2 linked regions of the Arabidopsis thaliana genome follow. The protein of the gene in region 1 interacts with the protein of each later gene in a pairwise test. Each region holds a gene or a part of one and is shown on either strand. Other genes may lie near its edges. The genes, in order: AT5G51150 and AT1G72180.

Region 1 (3,930 bases):
TCTCGGTTTCTTCTCCAGCATAACTGAGAGGGCTGCTGCACCACCCGCAAACCAATAAACGAGCTTGTGGTCTTTGGTTGCAACTTTTCTATGGGCACATATGAAAGCCTAATGCAAATGGGATGAAGGCACATACATTTGGGAATGGTTTTAGGAAACTATGTGAATTGTATGAAATGAGGGGACACAAATCAAATGTAAAAACCAGCTACCTGAAAAATCCCAACAAAAGCAGACAAGAAGGACGTCGATCTAACTGAATCTCTGATTGCAAGCCAAGATGTCCGGTAAGGAGAAGCCATGAACTGAAATGAAAGTGTAGGATGGCATCAGAAACTACATATCATGTCTGACTAATGCATAAACCATAGGAATCTAAAAGACTGAAACGGCAAATATTGAGGGACAGTCTTACTTTTTGTAGGTGTAGAACAACATATGGGACAAAAGTCAGGGAGAAATATAATGGAAATGTTTTCTTGAATGTAGCTGACATTGCATTAGCATTTTGGGCCAGACACGAGTTAGTGTTTGGATGAATAGCTGCACAGGGAATGATGGAAGCAAACTCTTCCACCTTCACGTCGCTTGCTTCGTTTTTACTAGAAATATAGGCTGACAAGGAGGCTACATCAATTGGACCACCTCTGCAGCACTCTCTTACAGCTTGGTAGACAGGCCTTGCAACTGGACCAGTCTTCTGAATAAATTCTCTATATGATTTTGGCAAGGTTTCAGGACGCATTATAAAGGAATACATAACCTGCACCGACCTCATTGCAACAAAATTAGCTTGCTGACCATAATCACTACCAAATCACATTGGAGAGAATACGTATGGTACACAAAAATGTCTTTCAACGTCTATACTATCTCCATTACTAACTAGAACAGGAAGAAAAGAGAAGAATCTCAAATACCTGAGCACATGCAAGAGAAAAAAGTAACGAATCTCCATGTCTCCAATGGCTACCCCAAAGATGGAACTTGTTCTTTGACTTAGCGGAATTATAAGCCGCCTATTAATAAGAGAAAAAATCAGACTCCGAAAAAAACATCTGTGTGGTGATATTACTCTGTACGACAGACAATACTATGACCATTAGATGTACCTGGCCTAATCTAGCCAAGAGGTATAGAGCAAGTGTGCGACGCTGGTTGGAATCATCTAAAGCCAAGATAGACAAACCCGCAACTGAACCTGCTAAGACTCTGCTCCACCCTTAATCAAAGTCATAATAAGGAATATACTTTTCAAGCACTATGCACAAAGTAAAAAGTAGAAGCATTATAAGAAAAGAGATACAACAATCGAAATCTTAGGCAACACAAATAAATAAAATAAACTTACGAATTCAATGGCGTCTCTTTCTTTCTCCACTTCCTCAAACAGCATCTAAGGGCATGATACGAGCCAGTAAAGCCACCAAAAAGTAGACCAATACGACATGCTTCCTCCCTAACTATCAAATCTTTCTCTGAAACAAGTTGCTGCAACCATTGTTCACGTGTGAGTGAATCGCATATACAATGATAAGTCAATAACACATTGGCCATAGTTTCAAAACAACCGTATCAAATGGAACACTAAAGCAGAGACTCGTAAGACTCTAAATCTCCAGAAATTGCCACAAAAACAAATTCCAATTCATCAATTCCTCACCTTAAGATCGAGAAGAGACGAATAAGACTGTCCCCTAGCGAGCTTAAAAGCGCGAAGAAGAATCCCGATCCCAACTCTAACACCATAAGAGAGAAGAAAGCTCTGACATAAATTCCCAATGGCATTGGCGACGCAAGAAACGTCAGCGTGATCACACAATTCCGCGTGAGATCCACGCGCCGCAGAGCGTTGTCTACGCTGAAGCTCCGCCATGGCATCGCGTAGCCTCTCCTCCGCTTCTCGAAGCCGGCGCTCAGCCTCCGAGCTGTCTTGAGATAAAGGAGAAATCGGTGGAGGCGAAGAAGAAGGATCTAAATCCGGCTTGGAGAACGAAGAAGGCATCGTCAATTAAAAGGAATTGAAATCGGAAAGCTTCTCAAGCTCGTTTGCTTAAAGGAAATGAAATGATGCAATCAGAGAAAAATGTTGGGAGCAGTGAGGAAGAAGCCGATGGGGATATGCTATGACACGTCATTTCTTTATGATTTTTGATTTGTTTCTTATTTTCTTTTTTGGAAAATAATCCAAAAGATTTATTTTTTACCATAAAGCAGAAAGTGTGCGGGTGCGGTTGCGGTTGCGGGAGTTTGCGGAAACAGGCGGTTGCGGTTTCAAGCGTTATCAAGCGTTTTGAACGACTGGTTGAGCGTTTGATAATAGGTGCGTTTACGGGAGTTTTATGACTGGTAAACCAGCGGGTGCGATAGTAATTAAATAAAAAATAACCAAAATAAATATAATATATTAATTTTAAAAGAAAAAAAATACAATATATTATTATGATAAATTGATAATATTAGAAAATTAAACATGCTTAATAATTAAAACCATAAACAAAACATTAAATTCAAAAATAAATAAATTTTGTAAGAAAAAGCTTAGTACTTTATGCATTTGGTACATCACCAAAAATTGCATCAAGTAGTGTAATAAACTGTAAATAATGTTGAACTCGTGGGTTTTCCGGATTGCCTCTATACATATGATAAAGTTTTAACAAGAAACGGGTCATCTCGTCTGACCAAATAATTTTCTAATCGAGAAAACAAATCAAAACATGTATTCAATAAAAAAACTCAAAAAAATATAAAATAAAAAAAATGACGATGCCATGAAATACTCTGAGAATTACACTAGCTAATGAATGGATGAAAGGATAGATCATACTTACGTTTGATTCTTGATTTTGATTTTGATTTTCGTTAGTTTGGGTAGATGCCATAATTGAGAAAATAGGGTTTCAATATATTGATTAGGGTTTTCTGATAAGAATAAGATATATACGGTTTGGGTGGAAGACATAATTATTTTAATTAATTAAAAAAAAAAATTAACCTAACTGCTACCGCCCGCAACCGCAAACGCTTGCGGGAAGGAGCTTTTGAAATCTGGCGATTTCAAGCGGTATCTAGCGGTTTCTATGATTGGTGTCAAACGCTAACAACCGCTACCATCCGCAAACGCAGCGTTTGCGGGTGGCAGAGGGAGAACCAATCAAAACAAAATGCGACTGGTTTCGTCGAAACCCAAATTGTTGGCTATGTGTGAAATTCTGGGACGCACATTTGTGATATTGTTGTGGCTTGTGATAGTAGCTAATCGGATACGTAGATAACATTTGGTCAGGGCATTTGGTACTAGTCGTTCGAAACGATAACATACTTGGTATGCACTATTTGGCTTTCAAGGATCCAACGCAAAAATGGTTGACATGAAGTCGACCCATGCATTTGTAAAAAGAAGCATCGAGCACGTTTGCTTCAACAAATTTGATGTTCTGACTCAGTTGTCATATTTTAAAAGCTATATAGTTGCGACAAGCCGACAAGGTACCTCGCATCACAGTTCACAACCAATGTAAACACACACTATACAAAACTCGGTTTCGTGTCTTCGTGACCTAGGAGATGGAGTTGTGTATACGGTTTCAACCAGGTATAAATTTATATAAGTACATTTTCACTCCTTCAATATCTAGTAAATGGAGATGGTTATACGGTTTCACCGTTTCAAAAACAATTTTGGTGAAGAAAATGTAATCTTCTACGGATATTTAAATGTTGATAAATTACTTATGCAAATTGTAACTAGTGTATGTTATGCAAATTATACACACATCTCCTTTTTTTTCGTTCTTCGTCCGTTAGAATCTAGTTTGCTCAACCGCATTGTCAGACTCTTGCCAGTCACAATTATCTCATTTTGATTAAAGCATCAGAAAGTTGTCATGAGAACAATCAAAATTACTGAAATTAATTGAACAAACT
Region 2 (3,930 bases), on another chromosome or scaffold:
GTTGTTTCTATAAATCGAAAGAGAAGTGAGGTGACTTAGATCGCCGAAACCAGAAGGAAATTCGCCGGTGAAGTTGTTTTCATGACAGTGGAAAACTCTGAGCTCCTTCAAAACTCCGAGTTCTTCAGGTAAAACCCCGCTCAACTGATTCGAAGAGATGTCGAATTCGCGTAAACGAGTCAAGTTCTTTATCTCCGGAGGGATTTTACCTGTTAAGCTGTTGTTGAACAACTCAATCTTGGTGAGATTTACCAATCTTGAGATTAAGATTGGGAAATCATCGGAGATTGCGTTGTTCGCGATGTCGAAAGTGTCGAGAGCATTCAGATCAAAGATCGAGTTTGGAATCTTCCCGGTCAAGTTGGAGCGAGCTAAGAACAGCCAAGTAAGTTTCTTTAAACCTCCAATACTCTCAGGAATTATACCTTCTTCGTAGTGATTGTTGCCAAGACCGAGAGAAACCAACTGATTCATATTCCCAATCCAGCTTTGAAACTCTCCGTTAAGAAAATTCCCGGAGATGTCGAGAATTTCTAGGGACTTTAGAGGAGAAAGGTTTGGGATTGTTCCGGAGAGTCTGTTGGAGGTGAGATTGAGAACTTTAAGGTTTTTGCAGTTGACTATCTCTGGCGGGATTCTTCCGGAGATGAAGTTAGATGGAAGCGATAGCGTAGAGAGCTTTGTGAGAGCTGAGATTGATGGAGAAATGGTGCCGGAGAGATTTACGTTTCCTAGAGAAATACCGATGACTTCGCCGGATAACGGGTCGCATGTGATGCCGCGAAACACGCATGGTGAATCGGAAGGCTTCCAAGATTGTAGAATGTTGTGAGAGTCGTCGAGGCGGTTTTTGAAGCGAAACAGAGCTTGTTTCTCAACGGTCGATTCAACATTCGGCGGGAAAATGAAGAGGAGAAACGTGGCAGCCACGGTGGCGACCACGCTGCCACGTAGGAGGTCTGGTCTTCTCGACATTTATAGTGATTCCCAAGGGCAAAACGGTCAATTTGTAGTTTAGGTGTTGATCATGGTCGATGCACTGGAATTCCCACCTACATAGAAAAATAAAGATATGAAATCAACAAACTAACCACTATACAATTAATAATCCACTCAAAATAAATTTGATATTTTAATGTATGGGATTTTCATAGTATTATGGTTTTCCAATTGTGTTTACTGTTTATTATTATTATATTCTATGCACGTATATTACTATATATATAAAAAATCAATCATAGCAAAGATTTTGTAAGAAGAATGGGTGCATGTGATTTGTGAACAGTTTTGTATAAATCATAAATTAGTTGTGATACATTTATACATCATGTATGGTAGATGGACATATTAAGCTTGCTTAAGTACACAAACTCCAAAAGTGAGCTTTAAAGGTACTCATTACAGTGCAGAAAGTTTATTATCCTTCTCCTAAATTTTCAGTTTCTTAATTATTTTGTTTGAAAGTAAAGCAAATGATCTATCTTTACTCTCTCTCTCTCCTTCTAAATCTGTGAATATAAACTTTAAAAGCATTGAATTTTAATGAAAAAAGAACAACACAACATTGAGAATTGAGTATCTATCAAGGATTAATGATTAAAAAGGTAATTAAATAAACAATCAAGTTAAAAATGAGTCATGCAGATTGTAGTTAGTGGATAAAGTAATTATGTTATTAGTAGAGCTAGTAACCTACACATTTGAAAATTTGAAATTTATAGAAACTTTTTCACAGAATCTATCCTTTAAATCTTTGGAAATAAAACAACCTTAGATTGAGTAAAGAAAACAAATATGTGAGGCTTAAAGATTCAAAACTTAAAACCAAGAAAAGCAACGGGATTAAACAAAATATAATGAAGAATTATCGTACCTGAAATAGATGAAACCTATCCAAAATCTCAGGTTAGTGAATGGATGATCCTTCTTAAATTTGAGAGATTTCAAACAAAGACAGGGGAGATGATTTTGATTTGTGGTTTCTGGTAAGAAAAAAGGAATGAACCTTTTTGTGTGATTTTCTTGGACCACGTTCTAGGAAAATCTCTAGGAAACAACAAAAAGCAGAAGAAGTCCTAATTTCGAGGAAGTTCTTCGATTATCAACTTAATTTAGTTTCTCTCAAAAGATAGAATTCGATGAAGAACAGTTCCAGAGAAAGATGTCTCCAAGAAATACGAAAGAGAGAGAGATTTGAGAAGAGAGGAGAGAGGAAAGAGAAGTGAGAAGAGACAAGAGAAAGTTGTCGTCGAGACTTGGAGCCAAAAAGGTTAAATCATTTATCAAAAAATCAACTATTTCTCTAGCTAGCTTCTCTCACCATACAATTCATGTTCGTGAAAGTTGTAAAAACTTTTAAAGTTAATAAAAATCATCTGACTATACTGATTTTGACATATAATATGTTATGATGATCTTTCTTTATAGTTAGCGTCGCTCTCAGGTTAAGAAAATCCAACGGTGCTTATATAGTTTTCTAATATATAAAAGAGGATCAACAACAGACATTGACCTAAAAAATTAGTTTCATGGATGTAGAAAAACATTCATCTTTCGGTTAATGTTTCTAGATGGATTGATAATAAGTGGAGATTCATTGTAATAAAACATTTTAAAATTTATTATTATAATGATACGTCATTGTCTGGAAAATAATCTTATTTGATATTTGTTTTTGTCATAGCGATAATTGTTCCTATTGGAATTAGTAGCAACTACTAGTTGTATATGTCCAAAACGTTACGTGAAAACATTTACATTCATATAGTTCCTATATATAAGATGATAAAAATAAAAGTGAAAAAATATTACTAGTATATAATTAGGAAATGCTGATTTATTGGATTTTACTTTTAAAGTGGAGATCAATTACAATAAATAATGAAAGCTTGGAGAAACCTATGAAGGTTACTAGAAAAAAATAAGCAACGAATCGTATTGATCCCAAATAGTTAGGCCGAAAAAAAAAACATTTTTGGTTTCTTCTGTAGTGTTAATATTCGTTTACAGTCTGGAAAATAAATTAAAATTAAAGAACCAAAAAAGAAAGAGAGAACTAAAATGTTGTTGGGTCGATTACCCTTTTAAGTGAAGTTTGATAAGAATCGTCTAACCTACTCAATGTCCTTTTCTTTCTACATCCATCTCTCTAATGTTATCCCCTTATGCTCCGAATCCCATTCTGATTTATCTCCAAGTTTTATATCACATATTTATTATGAAAACTTATAATTGCTTATTCTCTTTCTGATTGATATCAATGTGTGATGGCCTTGGGTCCTATGGCATCGTTTAGCCACTAAAAGTTAAAACACAAATTAAAGGACCATAATACAGTAAAATATTTAGAAACGGTAATAGATAGTGAAATGGTTAGTATATGATGATTATGTGGTTATAAATGTACCCCTTTCACTGAATCACTTTGTTTTCATGCTCACTTCACTCGATTGGTAATTATTCAAACTTACAAATGAAATTCCATAAAGTTATGGCCCTTACAAGGTTATCATCCTACATGTTAGAATAGTATATAGTATGTTGCTTCTTTATTTTATTAAGAAAAATCTAAGATAATGATTTAAAAAGTGAGACAATACACGAGAAAGAAATCAGAGACAGTCAATAACAAAAACAAAAAGTAGATGAGAATACTATAAAAAAAAAATCCCCCCATACATTTGGCCAAAATCAATAATACTAACATAGTTTTTTTAAGAGTATACAAAATGGAATTTTAGCTATTGCAAGAAAAAAAAAAAACTTCTCTTTAGTTGTTTAAATACTAATACTTTCTACTGAATAATAAAGTATTAACCGTGATACCTAATAAATTTTCTTGTGTCGGTTTAAATGGGAAGAGATACGGTTTAATAAAGGGATATGTGAGTGAGAATCAAAAGATCTTTGATTTGGATGTTGACTTCCCCA

The links.
Region 2: the proteins of AT5G51150 (region 1) and AT1G72180 interact in a protein complementation assay, tested with the Arabidopsis thaliana proteins (one large-scale study listed by BioGRID).

The regions. Positions count from the first base shown.
Region 1 is NC_003076.8:20,787,109-20,791,038, reverse strand, and holds the start of AT5G51150 (Mitochondrial import inner membrane translocase subunit Tim17/Tim22/Tim23 family protein), read right to left. Parts: upstream 2,127-3,930; 5' UTR 2,006-2,126; coding exon 1,664-2,005; intron 1,492-1,663; coding exon 1,352-1,491; intron 1,213-1,351; coding exon 1,113-1,212; intron 1,020-1,112; coding exon 921-1,019; intron 764-920; coding exon 416-763; intron 306-415; coding exon 213-305; intron 109-212; coding exon 1-108.
Region 2 is NC_003070.9:27,161,119-27,165,048, reverse strand, and holds the start of AT1G72180 (Leucine-rich receptor-like protein kinase family protein), read right to left. Parts: upstream 2,230-3,930; 5' UTR 1,874-2,229; intron 1,053-1,873; 5' UTR 976-1,052; coding exon 1-975. UniProt on the Arabidopsis thaliana protein: Receptor kinase involved in the perception of C-terminally encoded plant signaling peptide (CEP) and subsequent regulation of root and shoot development.